Caenorhabditis elegans: one gene and its partner. The protein of the gene in region 1 purifies or fractionates together with the protein of each later gene. This does not show direct contact. Each region holds a gene or a part of one and is shown on either strand. Other genes may lie near its edges.

The links. Proteins that work in one complex are often made in the same cells at the same time.
Region 2: the proteins of F09C8.1 (region 1) and acox-3 fractionate together in Caenorhabditis elegans (co-fractionation; one large-scale study listed by BioGRID). This does not show direct contact.

The regions. Positions count from the first base shown.
Region 1 is NC_003284.9:16,157,607-16,166,162, forward strand, and holds F09C8.1 (Triacylglycerol lipase), read right to left. Parts: upstream 5,919-8,556; 5' UTR 5,892-5,918; coding exon 5,873-5,891; intron 5,826-5,872; coding exon 5,656-5,825; intron 5,092-5,655; coding exon 4,980-5,091; intron 4,932-4,979; coding exon 4,765-4,931; intron 4,717-4,764; coding exon 4,633-4,716; intron 3,592-4,632; coding exon 3,434-3,591; intron 3,379-3,433; coding exon 3,324-3,378; intron 3,239-3,323; coding exon 3,119-3,238; intron 2,998-3,118; coding exon 2,827-2,997; intron 2,190-2,826; coding exon 2,121-2,189; 3' UTR 2,042-2,120; downstream 1-2,041.
Region 2 is NC_003282.8:6,243,399-6,251,590, reverse strand, and holds acox-3 (Acyl-coenzyme A oxidase acox-3), read left to right. Parts: upstream 1-3,098; 5' UTR 3,099-3,111; coding exon 3,112-3,210; intron 3,211-3,254; coding exon 3,255-3,386; intron 3,387-3,432; coding exon 3,433-3,600; intron 3,601-3,760; coding exon 3,761-3,902; intron 3,903-3,954; coding exon 3,955-4,276; intron 4,277-4,437; exon of another isoform or gene 4,438-4,458; intron 4,459-4,587; exon of another isoform or gene 4,588-4,609; intron 4,610-4,753; coding exon 4,754-4,854; intron 4,855-4,901; coding exon 4,902-4,998; intron 4,999-5,046; coding exon 5,047-5,220; intron 5,221-5,322; coding exon 5,323-5,437; intron 5,438-5,487; coding exon 5,488-6,029; intron 6,030-6,080; coding exon 6,081-6,192; 3' UTR 6,193-6,233; downstream 6,234-8,192. UniProt on the Caenorhabditis elegans protein: Involved in the first step of peroxisomal beta-oxidation by catalyzing the desaturation of fatty acid-derived side chains of ascaroside pheromones, which regulates development and behavior.

The sequences.
Region 1 (8,556 bases):
CAGTAATATGCCTTTCACGAGGGTGCTAAATACTATTGCCCACCTGCACCACACCACGCCCCACACTCCCGCCGCCCTCAAGCCATGGCGCGAGGTGGTCCCGCGTAGCGTCGGCCGCAGTACACAGTGCGGACGCACGGGCGTGCGGGAGTAGGGCAAGCGTGATGTGCTCTCTTCGCGCCTTGCCTTTGTGGAAGGCCTACACAGTAAACCAAATTCGAGAGCAATATTGTGCAAGCCTATTAAAGGCTGAAATGTTTATGGAAAACAAACACGGCATTGGCATGTTGCCAGATCAGATCGTACTTCGTGGTTTTGAGGATTACAGGATCAAAGGTTGAACTGTTCTTCAAGCGCTATGCACGGCGGAGCAGTGATTCAGGTACACTGTATGGTTGTGCTCCTACTGAACCATGATTTAAGCCACGTCCAAGCGGGGACTGTGACCAATAATCCAGTCGTGGATAGCTCCCCTTCTCAATAGAAACTGGGTGGACCTATGGGGGTGAGACCGGGCTTGAACTCGTGACCTCCAGATTGCTAGCGACCACCACTACCGACTGAGCCATCCCACCCCACACCCCATTTCTAGATCAGTCGTACTTTGTGGTTAATTTTCAAATTTCTAGTGTATAAAAAATTTAGATGAGTTCTTTGCAAATTCGAAATTTCAAATTTTAACAACTAAAATATTGAAAATAACTTTGGCACAAGCTGGTGTAGAGTTTGAGATTCAAATATTTTGAACTTTTTACAACTTAGAATTGTTCCATTTTAAATTAATGTTCTTAAAAATGTTTAAAGCGAAGCAAGTTGGCAAATACCATAATAAATGATTAAAAGTTTTAAAGTTTTTTATTTATTGTCAAAAAATGGAAAAACACTCATTTTTACCATATGTCTACACTTATCATATATCATTACCATATACTATTTAAAACCATATTACCAAATACCATATACCATGTACCATATACCGTATACCGTATACCATATACCATATACCATATACCATATATCATATACCATATACCATATGCCATATAGTATATACCATTTACCATATACCATATACCATATGGCAGATACCATATATCATATCTATCTGTCAGTTTACTAAAATATAGACCGAAACCTTTGAGAAATCTAAAAATTTTTGGATTATTTTAGTATGATATTTGGTTATGTTAAACTATAATGAACACATTTTGACCAAATCCCCTTTGACGATAGTCCATCTTGAAATTTGAAAATCTTTTTAAAATGCTCTTATAGTTATTTCTAATCTTTCTAAATCATAGGTTTCTTAATTGCCGAATTATGCTAGAAACGAGGATCAAAACACTGCAACTCATCCTATCTAATTTTTTTCCTGATCAAAATTTGATCAACTAACAAAACATTAATAGACTGATGAATATATTTTTGAGTGTGAAATTCAAATTTCTCTAAATACTTGGGAAAAAATAAAATCCAAGGAGATAGACAGTAGAATGAAAAATTTTGACACGCGATATCAATCTTAAATATGTATGATTCAGAGTACAATAATTTATAAGAATTGGCACCCAAAATATTTAGAAAAAACTACAAAAAAAAAGCTTAAACTAAGAAAGTCAAATAAATCACTAAAAAATTGATAATATAAGAAGAATGAGGATAAGATTATCGGAAAATAATAATTCGAAAAAGTAATCCTTTAAAGAAAATGCACACAAGTCTAAGCCGCCACCCACATCCAGAGCACTTATTTGCTCAATAATTTTATTAGTTCCGCCCATCTGAGCTAGAATGAAAAAAAAGAAAATGTGGAATGAGAATGCATTCTTATTATTATTATACAGCAACAAAAAAAGGAGTGATGTTGTTAGGACGGGGTGGGAGGTGATGACAAATGCGCGCACATTATTTTGTGTCACCTGAAAAAAGGTTTCCATTTTCTTGTGCCCTCGGCATACTTTGTACACACTCGCCTCTCTTTCGCAATAATGAAATTCGAAATATGATAACGAGGGGGGTATTATGCAAATCAAAAAACATAGCGAGTCGAAAATTTTCATATGAATATAGACAATTTTGATACAAACACACATATCGAATATAAATATATCATAAAATTATTAAGCATGAGGGGTCATGTATTGACTACAGTCCTGGCTGTTCTTAGGTGTTCGGATGAAGGGGCAAGCCTGAAAAATGTTCCTATTTGAGATAAGGTAGTATTATGGAATAAAAAACAAAATTCCAGATTTTTGTTTTCAGTTCCAAACTGCTAAAGATAAGTTCCAATAAAGAAATAATGGTTTTTTCTTTATACTGTGAACTTAGGCCTGTAGATTTTGGTTTGATCTATGTTATCTCATTATAGTTGCACGTGGTGTCAGAATGTCGCATTTCGTTGTGATCTACAAAAAGTGCGGGATATTAGGAGCAGACTCCTCAATTAACTTTGCATAGTTAAAAACGTGCTGACGTCACATTTTTTGAGGAAAAAATTCCCGCATTTTTTTGTAGATCAAACCTTTATGGAACAACCTGACACCACGCGCAGTTGTGGAATTTGCAGCCGACATAAATCGAAGTTTGCGGTGGACAACTTTCTGACAGAATATTTTATGTTGCTTTTTGTTACCCACCTCCGAGTGTACTACTACTATTTTTCATAACTAACACTCAGTACTGTAGGATTACGCCTGGTTAGTTATTTTTCAAAACTTCGGAAAAATCCGTCTTTGATGCAAAAAACAATCAAAAAAGTTTAGACCTTCAAAAACCTTTTTTCCTTACTAATACATATGTGATGGTTCCCTTGATAACTGAACTTACCGCATCTGGGCAGGCCAATGTCTGAAGTGGCACTGACATGTTTGAAACTGTAGATTTTGAGCCAACTGGCTGTAAAATGTTATTCCAAAGATAAGTGCTCACAAGAGCATGTCCCCATTGTGAGAAATGGAAGCAATCCGGTGCGAAGAACTTTTGAGTTGGTTTTCCATTCTGAACAGTTTGTATGTTTGTATTTTGCTATGTTTGCAAGCATGACAAAATTTTTGCATCACGTCATGGTTTTGAAAAGTTTCGAAAAAAGTGTCGAAACATTCAAATATCGATCACTCACTTCCATTGGGGGAATCAAAGTATCTTGGAACATTGGTTGAACCACATATGTGAAGTCGTTTTTCTCAAAAGTTCCGTCGGTCTCAATTTGTTTTTCGTACTTGTTATAATCATAGCAAGCCTGCAACAAGCTCTTTATAAAAAGTTTAAATTATTTTTAATAATTATCGAAGCTTTGGAAGCTTAAAATCCCACTCCCCACCCACCTGTCTGATATCAGCATCGGTGAAGTTCTTATTGCTCTCGCAGCCGCACTCGTCACTGCAAAAACGGTATGTATTATTTTTGTGTCAATAAATAGGGTTTTGCAACATACTGATGCAAACGTTGACAGAACCAGTGGCCGGTATCAGTTTGGCGCAGCATCTCGAGATGCAACATTCCTGTGAGGGAAACAATGACACGTGGAACATTATCGTAAATTATTTGCACGGCTTGTTTGATGTCCTGCGCGCAGTTGTATGGGGAATCCTCCTGGAATTAGAAACAAATATTTAGATGGGATAGAGAGTAGTACCTAATCAACAGGATTAGGGCCTTAAAGCTACGTTTACGTTATTTTATATGCATTGCATTTCGAAGTATGAATTGCTTATTTATGCAACGTGTGATATAATTCTTACGTTTTTTAGATCAAAAATGAATATTATCTTTTCCCAAAAAAAAACATTTCAAAATTTTTGCAGTCAAAATTTCGAAAAAAAGAGCCAAATTTGGCTAAAATCTGAAATTTCGCACACTTTTCTTTGTCACAGCTGCTGGATTTTAGTTTTTCTGCAGTTATCACTTTTTTAATCTTTATTTTGGTAATTTATCTCGTGGATATTCGATGATTGAGACAACTTTTAGGCCGATAGGCATCCAAAAATGATCAAAATTGGCAAAATTTGGCTCTTTTTTTCGAAATTTTGAGCGGCCATAAAAAAATTTTGGAAATGTTTTGTGAAGTCTCATTATGAAATTCGGCGATTTTGAATCAGTTTTAGTCTATTCAACCTAAATACCACAAACTCTACGCCCCCTTTGATTGATATTCCTGAGAACAAAATCATAAAACAAGTATGATTTACACACCAAGAACGGCATAATCGACAATCATATGTTGAAACAAACTGTATAGAACTCAGAATTACGACTGCTACAAAATTAGCATTTATGATGTAATGGCGTAAATGTTTTGCTCTTTGAGCATTGAAATTTTTAATTTTATGGTATCCACAATAAAGACATATCTTATTTGATCTGCGTCTGATCCAATTAGGGCTCCCATGTCGGCATCAAAAACCGCCGATCCGAAATTTTTATAGCAATGCGCGGAACACAAAAAGAGTCGACAGCGGAGCTAAGTTTGCTGCAAATAGTGCGATAGAGTGTGGCAATATTTGGTGCAAATTTTGCTCCGCGTCCGACACTTTTTGGGTTTAGCGCATTCGTTTGTGGCGCCGACATGGGAGCCCTAGATTTAATCGAAAATAATTCCTACTACCCATCATCAATAAAACCTAATAACCTCACCACTGGTTTTCTGCAATAACCACAAATGTCATTTCCTCCAATGAAAATGTTCAACAACTTCCAATCCTCCTTCATGTTTACAACCTTAAATGGAATTTTTTTGACTGAAAAGCAAAAAAGCTCTTGACCAACCTCTGTATGCTGCTGGAGAAGTTGTACCAATTGCCGGGCCTGTCCTGGAAGATCCTTCGCGTTAGCTCCTGGCATGGCAACATTGAGACGAGCAATTTCCCAGACATTTGGAGACCCGATTCCATTAGAATATCCAAACACGTCTGGATTGTATTTTTTGAGAATATCTGGAATAGATTAGCAAATTTTTGGAAAATTAAAAAAATGCCAATTACTTGGAATAGTGACGTGTTCTTCTAATGTCTTGTCACCTCCGGCTTGGAATGCAAGACCACGATATTGCAGAACGACTGCTACCGGATCCTCGGCACCAGCTCCATTTGCGGCCTAAATATTGATTCCATTTTCAGGAAAAGTGCCCATGAAATTGAGTAATTAAGTATGTAAAGTACGAGTAAACTAAAAAAATTAGTAAACTATACTAATTTGGAATTGCCTGAAAACTACCAAGCCGCCAGAAGAAGGTTGGCCAAGAAAAAGTGGCAACGTTTTTTGTTAGCTATAAACGCTATGGGAATCTGAAAAAAACTCTAAAAAATTGACCGTGTTTTTTCTCATGATATGAATGGTATGGAACACTACAATACTTTCTTCAACTTATAAGAGTCGATTTTGAGCAAATTAGACAAATTTTGAACGTAAGTAGAAGGATTTGAACTTTTATAATCATATATTTCTCGAGCTAGAATATTTGGTTGGGACTTGGTTAAAAAATTTTCTTTTAGATGATCTACGCCAGGTGTTTCTATTTCCAGAACGTATCTTGTTTCAACTTTGAAGAACAACTTTTTTCGAACTCTTTGCACTTTCTAAGTTATTCTCAAGCATCCACCTCCTTACAGCTTATCCTAATTTGAAATTCTTAACCTGACTAGAAAAAAGACCACCTACCGTCAGAGAATCTCCTAGTGCCATGATCAGCTTGATATCTGCTGGTCGTACGGAGTTCACATTTGTTGGCACTTTTTTACTCTTTTTCATTACATTTGCATCACAGCTATATCCGGGTATACCGAAATCCGGTAAAGTAGCAAGAACATATAAGAAAATGCAAGAAAACACTGAAAATTCCTGTTAGAAATCTACAAAAAAAACGATTTTATCTCACCGAAAACTCTCCTCCACATGTTTGCACAAGTATCAACTCAATTGCCGAAACTAACTGAAGATGATCCCTTATCAAGATCTGATCGTTGCCCGTGGCCATTTAATTCTTATCAGTTGATGTCCCCACGTGTTGAGCAGGAAGCGCGGAAACGGTATTCTTCGTCATTTCTTGTGGTTTCTAGTCGATCTGATATTCATTACAAGGAAGTTTGCGACACGTGATTTTTTCTGGAAAAAAAATTGAGGAGGTCTGAGAAAATTACTCTATTATTTGATATTACCTTGCATGGAAGACTAATTTTTTAGTAACCGTTAGCTTAGGAAATACTATTGATCACCGGCACCCTAGATTCCAAAAATTTTGAAAAAAAACTAAAGCACAATGTTTTGACGATGTGTACATTTTTTCTGGGTTTACTGGATGTAATCGATTCTATAAACAAAGTAATTTACTTAACAAGATCTCCATTTAATTTCACTAATATAGTTTCAGAGGCTGTGGAAATTTTTGCTCAATTTGTCCCAAAACCTCAAAAACCAAAACTCAATATTCTCAGACAACCCCATTTTTTATCTAATTAGAAATTATCCACATCCAATAAGAAATTAGCCACATCTAATTAGAAATATGCATATGAAAATTTTCAAAACGGTTCTATGTTTCGAAGAAACAAAATTTCAGAAAAAAAGTTGTATGCGTTAAAAATGCTTGGGTTGGCAATGGCTCGCCGAAAATAATTTTCAATTTAATGAACATGTTCTCTTAACTTTTGTCACATCAACATATTTTAAAATTCAATACTTTCGCTGAAAAAAAATTGAAAAAAATTTTATACGTCTTATTACGAACATTTGCATTTTGGGTCATTTTATCCCTCATAAAGTAATAACCCGAATTACCTCATATAATTTTTGCTGATTTTGGAAAACAAATGCTGTAATGTGTAGGATGTTTTAGTAGGTTTAGTTTCAAGATATTAAAATTGAAAAAATATTGAATTTGAATTTTCTGTGTTGAATTTTCTGTGTTGTGTGTATCTGTGTTGTTTGAATTTTGACAATCTTACCCATTTTTCACAAATCTGAAGTACTTTTCATTATTGGATTCCGGCTTAGTAAGTTTCTCTCAAAATGAATTTTCAACTTCAGCATGAAAAATATGGTCTCCAAATTCATTACCAAATATGTACAATTTCAAACGTTGCTGAATTCTGATCGTTTTTTGTCTTATCTTGACGTCCATCATTTGCAGAATTCACCGACCTCTGATCAATTAGTTTTTTTGCACATGTGAAATTGGGCGTCGAGCAGAAAATGTTACTGTAATTTTTTCAGCGAATCAACGACAAAAAGAAACCAAGAGTAATAACCGATCATTAATCAAGAATGATTTTACAAACGTCTAAAAATTGTAAGATTTGTTCGACATGTTATCTAGAAAATTAGAAAACTTATCTGAAGCTAGAATATTTTTTTAATACTTTCAGAAAACAAGTATTTGTGCTCATAAAGTTTGCTTCAACTCTGCACTGTTAAAATTATATAAGAATTTAGGAAGACTAAGATGGTTGTTGCAGAACCGGAGGTGTTCAAACATACTTCATTGAATGACTTTTTTTTCAAAAATTGTTATGTGAACAATTGCCGTAATTTTTCCGCCTGTTAATTACATAGTACATAAAAATTTATATTTTCAATATACTGTCTAGTTTTTTTTTGTTTTTTTTTAAAGTTTTCTTAAAAGTTTTCGAAATTTTCAGATTTTTAACGTATTTTGTTATGAAAAATCCGGTGAATGATTTTTTATTTAATTGTTAACTCTTGAAAAAAATTGAGCCATTATTCCTCACTCTAAATAATTACACATTTGCTGTAAACGCACAATTCACACATCGCCAAGAAAACCGAAAATAGTACACTTACTGCAACATGCAATTGGTCACAGTGCGTGCACAAATTTTGACATTCAAGCAAGTTGCCCTGCCCTCAATATAGATCTGTACAATACGCCTTCTGAAATATTATGCGCACATCACTAATTGTTTTCATACTGAAAAAATTGCAATTACCTATTAACACTTGAAATAAACAATCGAAAAACCGCATTTTTAGAATTTACTATCACGACTAGCGTGTCGTACCGTATACCATTTACAATATGGATTTTTTGAGTTTCACGTAAATCCTCAACAAGGAAGTTTTTCTGCCCAACCATCTGAAAATTATCATCAAAATCAAACGATCAAAAAATTACACGTACAATTGAAGAGGTAACAAATAGTTTGCAACGCATGCTACAGATAGGGTGGAAATGTTCCGTTATCTGATTTACATGCAATTTCTACTTTGGTGCATTAATAAGTTACAGTATTAAATGTTTGAACTTTTTCAACCAACAAGGAATTTGTGGAAATGTGAACATTACTTGAATGTGTTAAACTAATTATAAAAAGTATTTTGCCAGTAGACTTTGGAATTCAAAATATTTTAAATAAAGGGGTTTTTTTACTTAAAATATGCTCATGACTCCGATCTAAAAGTATAAAAAAGTTACCGGAGTATTTTTGCGCGTGTTTCAGTTGTATATCTGATATGTGAATGAATGAAAAAAAGTCAAAACAAATCAAAATAAAAAGTGTGTACAAAGGTTTGTTTTCGGAAAATGTCACCACGAACATTTTAGCG
Region 2 (8,192 bases), on another chromosome or scaffold:
TTCGAAAAGACAACTGAAAAGTGGAGGAGGCAGGCTATACAAGAAAGTGTGTATGTTTCCAGAAATGCAACCCTTTTCGTGTATGCACTCTTTTTTAAACTTCGAGGTAGTGGTCTTGTTTGTTTCTGCCTGTGTGTGTGTGTGTGTGTGTGTGTGTGTGTGTGTGTGTGTGTGTGTGTGATGAGCTCCATAACAACTTATAGCACGTTTTATATTCACGCTTGATTGGTACTGAAAGCCAAAACATCTTTTCACGCCTGAATGGTACGGAACGCAACAATAACGGTAATGAGGAAAACATGCCAAATACGAAGAATCTAATTATAATTAAACTATAGTGTCGACAATCGGATTTCTCATAAAATCAAGTGAGAAAATTTGGTCAAATTCTGCATATACTATGCAGTAAAGACCGCCGACGGGAACCTTTTCTCGGAAATTTAAACGAATGCTGACGTTTGTCTGTCGCACCAACTCAAATAGTGAAGTGTCCTGAGCAACGGGACTCAATTCAAAACCAAAAATCGTATATCCGCCTTCTTTAAACATTTGGGTGCTAATAGAATTACATGTGGAATTGCTTCGCGAGTGACCGAGGGTTTCTTGAAGTTGAATGTATGCCTCCATAAACTTGTTTCTGTCAAAATCTAAGGCAAAAGGGCGGCCGGGGAGTGTCATTCCACAATAATCAACATGTATATCAGATATACCATGTGGTTTGAAATTGAATGGTGATTTATCATAAGAGCCATTGTACGCGTCAGAATCAACAAGACCAATGAAAATTCGACGGGGCATCTTGCTTGTGAAGAGTGTGTTAGCCGGCGCGTCAAGACGTCCAGACTCTATATAGAAACTGCGCACCTGTGAAGATATTAGAGGATATTGGATTATTTTGTGCTCAATAATGGAGCTCTCTAGAGCATTAGATAGACCGTCGGCAAGATCGAATTCGTTAACCAGAGCGTAAACGTCGGTTATTTTGAACTGAAACTCTGTGTTGTTGTCGCGATTGTAAACCTCAATCAAAAATTTACTATCATTTGGGTAAACTGTAAGTTTCACATTACAACCGTTCAAGAGCACTCGCGGCTGATTCATCAAGTCAATCGAAATGTTTGCCGCAACTTGTATTTCGTCCTGGTTGTAAATTGAGGCACAACGCTGTTGAAACCCAGGACTACGGTGGTCGCCAATCACAGGGTCATGATAGAAACCGGCCGCGGTTAGAGTGGAGTTTTGAATTTCCTTCCCGTACATTAAAACGTGTTCAAAATAGCTCTTGTACGCATAGTTTGACGAGTTGTGAAAAGCTAATTGTGAATTAATGTGTAGTGTGAAATTTCAGATCGACTAGTTTTCCGGTCACAACTCGGATCCCCGTTTTCAATGCACAACTTTACGATCCACACATTTCAACGTTTTATACACTAATTAATGCCAGAAACTTATTCGCAACATTGGCACACATGAAGCAATAATTAATAGGCACACACGGTTTTCAGTGAAATTCCTCAATTATTCTAAAACGGGGGACCAACCGAGAAATTTGCAAAAATGCGCAACTTTAAGTCTTTTGCACAACTATTCCCACTATACTACTAACTTACTCTAATTGCTTGATGTTTAAGCAATAAAATAACAGAAAAATAACATAGTATGATATATTGCATAAAAGAAGATAGGACCGCCACCAAGCAGTCGAAGAAGGCAGAATGAGTGATTTCTTCTTCAGAAAATGGGCGGGTTTGTGGCTTCTCTGACTCTCTCAAAAGCTCAGAATGTGTGACGTTAGAGCTAGAGATTATTGAAATGTAGGAGGTTTTGAGAGATTAGCAAAAAAGGAAAAAAGGATTAGAAATGTTTTCAAGCTCTTCTTTATGCCAAGATCATGAAACGAAAGACTTGTTTGAGAAGAGGGAAATAAGATTATGAAATTATGAAAAAAGATGGAAAATAAATAGTTTTAATTGTATTTCAATCATGCTTCAATTGGCCAACTCTTGTGTTCAAATTTAAATTAAACAAAAAAATTATTATGCTGTTTCACGAATACTATATGAACAGAGGCATTTTCTCTGTTTTGATATTGAAACTTCAGCTGAAAAAAAGATCTCGTAAAAACAGTCTTGATCATGAATTAAACTAATCTCTTCTTGTTAATGTTAGTAATGATAGAAAAATATTGCCTGAACTTTGTGGTTCCACTTATTTTAACTTATAAAATAGTGAAACGCATCTAGTAATTCGAAGAAAAAGCAAACTCTCTATTGAGGTTTTCAACAAAATCACAAAGTTGGCAATCACATTTTTTTCCAAATTCCACAAAATTGATGAGTAGGTTTTATCGGACACCTAATATAATTGCTCAAGTCAGAGCAAACCTATTATTATTATCAGTAATTTCAAGTTTTGGTAGTTCAGCCAAAATTGATTTCGGGAAAACTATGAAACCGCTAAAAATGTTTACATCAAAGTCTAAACTGCAAAAATGTTGGAAAATATTGTAAAAGTATGAAATATTGAAGTTAAAGTGCTAATAATTTTTAATTTAATTTTAATTTAATTTAATTTTTATTTTGACCAGTACGCTCCTGGAAATGTGTTACCCCCACTTTCGCCAAAACTGTATTTAGAAATTTTTTAGCGTATTTTTATTTAAAAACATGTTTTACACTTATGGAAATAATACTAAATTTTTTATTATCCACTACGTTGTTTTAAACTATTTACTTGTCCACATTCTCTCTCCGAGCCCACTTTAAAACAAGGAAACATGAATTTTCTGTAAAATTTCAGTTAATTTCCTCTGACCCTTTTTACAAACACCAGCTAATTACAATCTACTACGATAATTTTAAAAGACCATTCCTCCCCCTATTTATACAATACCACCACGCTGTAGTCAGACTGTCTTCGATCTCTGCGTCTCTCAATTACTTTCTATTTTCTTTGTTTTTGATAAGACTACACTCTTCCTACCCAGTACATATGCAATTGCTTTTGTCTTAATTTTGTTCAGTTTATTTTAACATATATTCTGCTGAAAATAAAATGAATCTTTTGAATTTAAAGGATTTATTTAGTAAATTTTTCAGTTTCAGATCAAAAATGAGTGCTCCTTTAATTGACAAATACCGGAAAATGGCAACTTTCGACTGGAAAAAATTGAAAGCAGCCGTTGAAGGAGAAGAACATGTTAGACTGAAGGTATAGTAGATTTTGGATTTATAAAATATTTATATATATTTCAGTCAGAAGTAGTTGCTAAAATGAAGTCAGAACCAGTATTTCACAGAGATTATCGAGTATTGAGTAGAGAAGAGCAAAGAGAAGTTGTTCATCAGAGATGGAAGAAAATTGTCGAATGGGGGTTGTTCAAAGATGTATTTCTTATTAAATTGTAGATTTTCAATATATTCGAATATTCAGCCGTACTCCGATCTTGAAAACTTCCATGCATTGACTGAAACTCTTGAAGCTTATGATCAAGGCACATCTGCAAGGCTTTTCCTCCACGGAAATGTTTTTGGAGCAGCTGTTAAGTCAATGGGAACAGATAGACATAAGGATTTGATTCAGAAAACTGAAAACAATGAGGTGAATTTCAAAGAAAATAGCATACAAAATTAAGAAGTACTCAAGAAAAAGAAAAATCAAAACAAATTTGAAAATAATTTATTCTAAAGAAATTTAAACAAAAGCGCATTGTATTCAAATCTGGAAAGTTTAGGTTTCCTTGCAAAATAGCAAATTTCAGATCGTCGGAGCATTTTGTCTGACAGAAGTAGGCCATGGTTCAAACACTGCTGAAATTCAAACAACAGCTACATTTGACAATGGAGAACTTGTTTTCAATACTCCAAGTGTCAGTGCAATCAAATGTTGGGCTGGAAATCTCGGTGGGTTTTAAAACATTTTTAATTTTAAATTTAAAAAAATCCATTTTTTTAGCTCACTCGGCCACTCACGTAGTTGTTTATGCTCAACTTCATGTCGAAGGAAAGAACGAGGGATTTCATGGATTTGTGATTCAAGTTCGTTGCCCTAGAACTTTCCAAACTCTACCAGGAATTACCATTGGAGACATGGGCTCGAAACCAGGATGCTGGCAGGGAGTAGAAAATGGCTGGATGGAGTTTAAGAACCATAGAGCTCCTCTGAGTGCACTTTTGAATAAGGGTTGTGATATTACTCCGGATGGAAAATATGTGACAAGTTTCAAATCTGCAAGTGAGAAGCAGAGTGTCAGTTTGGGAACATTGTCAGTTGGAAGGTATGTTTTCAATACTTTACGACGCCGGCCGTATAGAAAAATTTTTTAATTGAGTGAAATTTGTATCTAAAAGAATTTCTGTTAAAAAAATCAGGTTCTGAAGAATTTCTAGCCGCTGTTTTACCAACTTTTTAAATGTGTTGTTTTTTTCTCAGTTTTAGTAGATACAAGATGCAAATTTCACGGCCGAGCCTTATTATCAATAAAAGCAAAATCTCAAAACGAATCTATTCCAGCTTTAATCGATACTTTTAAAATATGAATTGATTTTCTAGAGTGAAGCCATTGTATTTAATACAAATAGAAATAATGGAAATGGCATTCTTAGGACAATTCGAAATTGTAAAAGCAGACGAATTCATAAAGTTGGGAAAACAGTGCAATCTATAAGTTTTTCCGATTGATTTTTTTCAAACAAAATACTGTTTCAAAATTCAAACTTTACCAACAATGGTTTCACAATAACACAAATTTCAGACTCGGAATTATCGCAAAAGGAATGATGGCTTGCACTTTTGCATCTACAATTGCTATTCGATACAGTGTTGCTCGGCGACAGTTTGGACCAGTAAAAGGCGGTGAGCACCATTCCTTTTCTCAATTTCTCAACTTTTGTATAATTCAGCTGAAAATGAGATCCCAGTTCTCGAGTATCCACTTCAACAGTATCGTCTATTCCCGTACCTATCCGCTGCAATTTGCATTAGAATATTCCAGAAGAAGTGGGAACTCTAAACAAATTGTTTTCAATAATTAGTTAAACTTTATAGGTTTGTCGGACATTTCACTGAATATATGATGAGAGTCATAATGGGAGAAAAGTCAGACGAGCTCTCCGAGTTCTCAAAAGAAGTACATGCATTGTCGTCTGGAGCTAAACCGGTTGCAACGTGGCTTGGTGTAGAATCCCTTGGAGAAGCTAGAAAAGCTTGTGGAGGTCATGGGTATGTTTCCTAACATAACCTGAAACTTAACTTTAAGAAACTCATTTTTTGAGAATTCGTCTTTCTATTTTTTCCAGATTAAAGTTAAAATTTAAATTACAGATACCTACAAATGTCACGATTGAACACCCTCCGAGATGACAACGATCCATCACAAACATTTGAAGGAGAAAACTTTATGATTTTGCAACAAACCAGCAATATTTTGCTAGGAAAAGTAAACTTAATTGTCAGATTCTTTAATCATATTGAGATTCTGATGTTCAGGCTCAATCAATTGGATCCATTGAGACCCCGATGTCTACTATGTCATTCTTGAATCAAAAACCTTCAAAGTTCTCATCATGGTCTTCGAATCCAGTTAATGACGTGTTGTCTGCGTACCGATATCTCACTTATCACTTACTTCAAACAACTTCGGCAGAAGCTTACAGACTAAAAGCATCTGGAAAGAATTCATTCGAAGTTCGAAATGAAATTCAAATTCATAGAGCTGTCAATTTGTCTGTTGCATACACAGAACATACAATGATCCATTGGGTTCAACAGTTCTTGAAAGAAATTGAAGATCAAAGTGTGAAGCCGGTTCTTCAAAAAGTTTTGAATCTTTTCTCACTTTTCCTTTTGGAAAGACATCTTGCAACTCTTTATATTACTGGATATGCTTCTGGTGGAAAGTTTGGAGAAGATCTTCGAGAGAAGCTTAGACTCGCTGTAGCCGAATTAAAACCCGAGGCCATTGCTTTAGTGGACTCGATTGCTCCAGATGATTTCATTTTACATTCAGCTCTGGGAGCATCTGATGGAAAGTCAGTTTTAAAATGTAAAGGTTTCTGCTGAACTTTAAATTTGATTTTCAGAGCGTACGAGCATATAATGGAAGAATTCCGGAAGTATACAAATGAACAACCAAGATGGGTTTGCGATTTGGCTCAGTTTTTGCAAAAGAGATCACAAGGATCCAAGCTATAATATTTCACAAACTGTATATTTCCCAATAAATCCAGTTTTTGAATAAATTCAAAATATACAAACAATTTCAAATTTCTTTGAAAGCTAAAATTTTTGCAAAAAATAAAAATCTAAACGTATAAGCAAAGTTTTCAGATTTATACATATCGTCGACGTGAAACGGCAAAATTTTTTAAATGTTTAATTGAAAAAATTTATTAAAACTTTGGTACCCGGATGTCAGGAAATGCTTAAAAGGCTTCTAACACTGGAAAATAGTTTCTCATTTAGAACCAAAACGATAATGTTGCGTTAGTTTAAATGAATTTATATGATTAATGTGAAACGGGGAAAATTTAAAATAGTGATAGCGCCCACGGGGAAAATGTTTAAAACTATTTATTAAGTGCCAAAAATCATTGTAGAACTTTCACAATGTATTTATAAAATAATATTTATATGAAATAACACCAAAATTTAATTTATTTCCACGCCAATTTCTAATTTTACTTTAAAAACTGTTCTCACAATATTATTGTATCAATGTTGTCGCGAAGTCGATGAATACAAAGATTAACTCGCTCACGACTTTTATTTTTAATTTCTATTCTCCACGTGATAAAGAATCCATTTCACATATCTGGAGAATTTATAAATTTATCAACTCTCATTAATTTGCTAATTGGCTTGAAAGGGTTGTGCATCAAAAAGGTCTTCCGTTTGAAATTCTTCGCACGATGACAAATAATTTCAAAAATACAATTTTCAAAACTTAAAGTTTTTCAGAACTCGTCCGTCTGATTCTCCAATGTCAACTTTGTATTGCGTGCGAATAACTTCAGGAAACTCTACAAAGGCTCAGAAAGGCTGTAAAAGCTCGAACACAACTGAAGCTCCGTATACCAATGTTGCGTGATTTCAAAAAAGTGTTATACCATCAATGGGAAACGGTAAAAAGTTTTTTTTAATTTGTAGGTGCAAAATGCTTTGAAAATTTTTTGTTTCGAGATTTTAAAAATAGAATAACACAAATTTTTATCAAATTTCAAACAATAATCATTTGATACCATCCGTTAATATAATCTCCATTGTAATCATATTTCCAGTATAAAGAACCCATTTCACATGTGAAACTGATTGAAAGTTTTTCTAACCCTGATTCAATTGATGTCATTGCTCTACACGGACAAGTTGTTGTAGATTCAGTATTATTTCCTGTACAATTACAACCAGCACTTTCTGATAAACATCTTCGCGTTCTAATCCACATTGTATCGCCATCATTTCTTCCGTAACTGGAAAAAGAGCTCCAAATTCCTCCAATTGGACAACAATTATATGTTGAGTTAGAAACAGATGCAGCAGTTTCAGCGGCTGTTGTTAGTGGTCCACATTGAGTTGTTCCGTTCAGAACCATTGAGACATATGGAATACAACAAGTACGTTGAGCTGGATATGAACATGGTTATGTGTTGCACGGATAGTAGCGAGTTGCATTTCCACTGAAAAGAAATATTCTGATGTACATAAATAATGGTAGGAAAGTTTTTTCATCCTTGATTTTTTGCATTTTCTACAAGAATTTTTGGAGTGGAATTTTTTTTGAAATTTCACAAGTTATAGAAAACTACTCAAATGAAGTGTTTTGCAAGGTATTTTTTTCAGGTTTGGTTACACATCGATGCTCAATAATTGGGGAGAAATTGTGTTCCACCCTTAATGATACTATTCCTGGTGAATGGCGTGAGCAAATCTAATTTTGGAAGTTTCCAAGCATATCATACCTGTCACAAGGACAACTTATTTCCTCTGAAACGCAGGATAAGTTTTAGCACAAGAACCACAACTCGCTGAGCATTCGACACCTTCTGCATCAGCCCATTCACTCCATAAACCACCAGTTGGACAAGTCACGTTGATGGAACATGTCTTCAATTTTTAATTATTAAAAACTAAAAAAAATCTTTAAAAAACTCACAGAGCGATCTGCTCGACAAATTCCAGCAAGGAATGCCACCAAA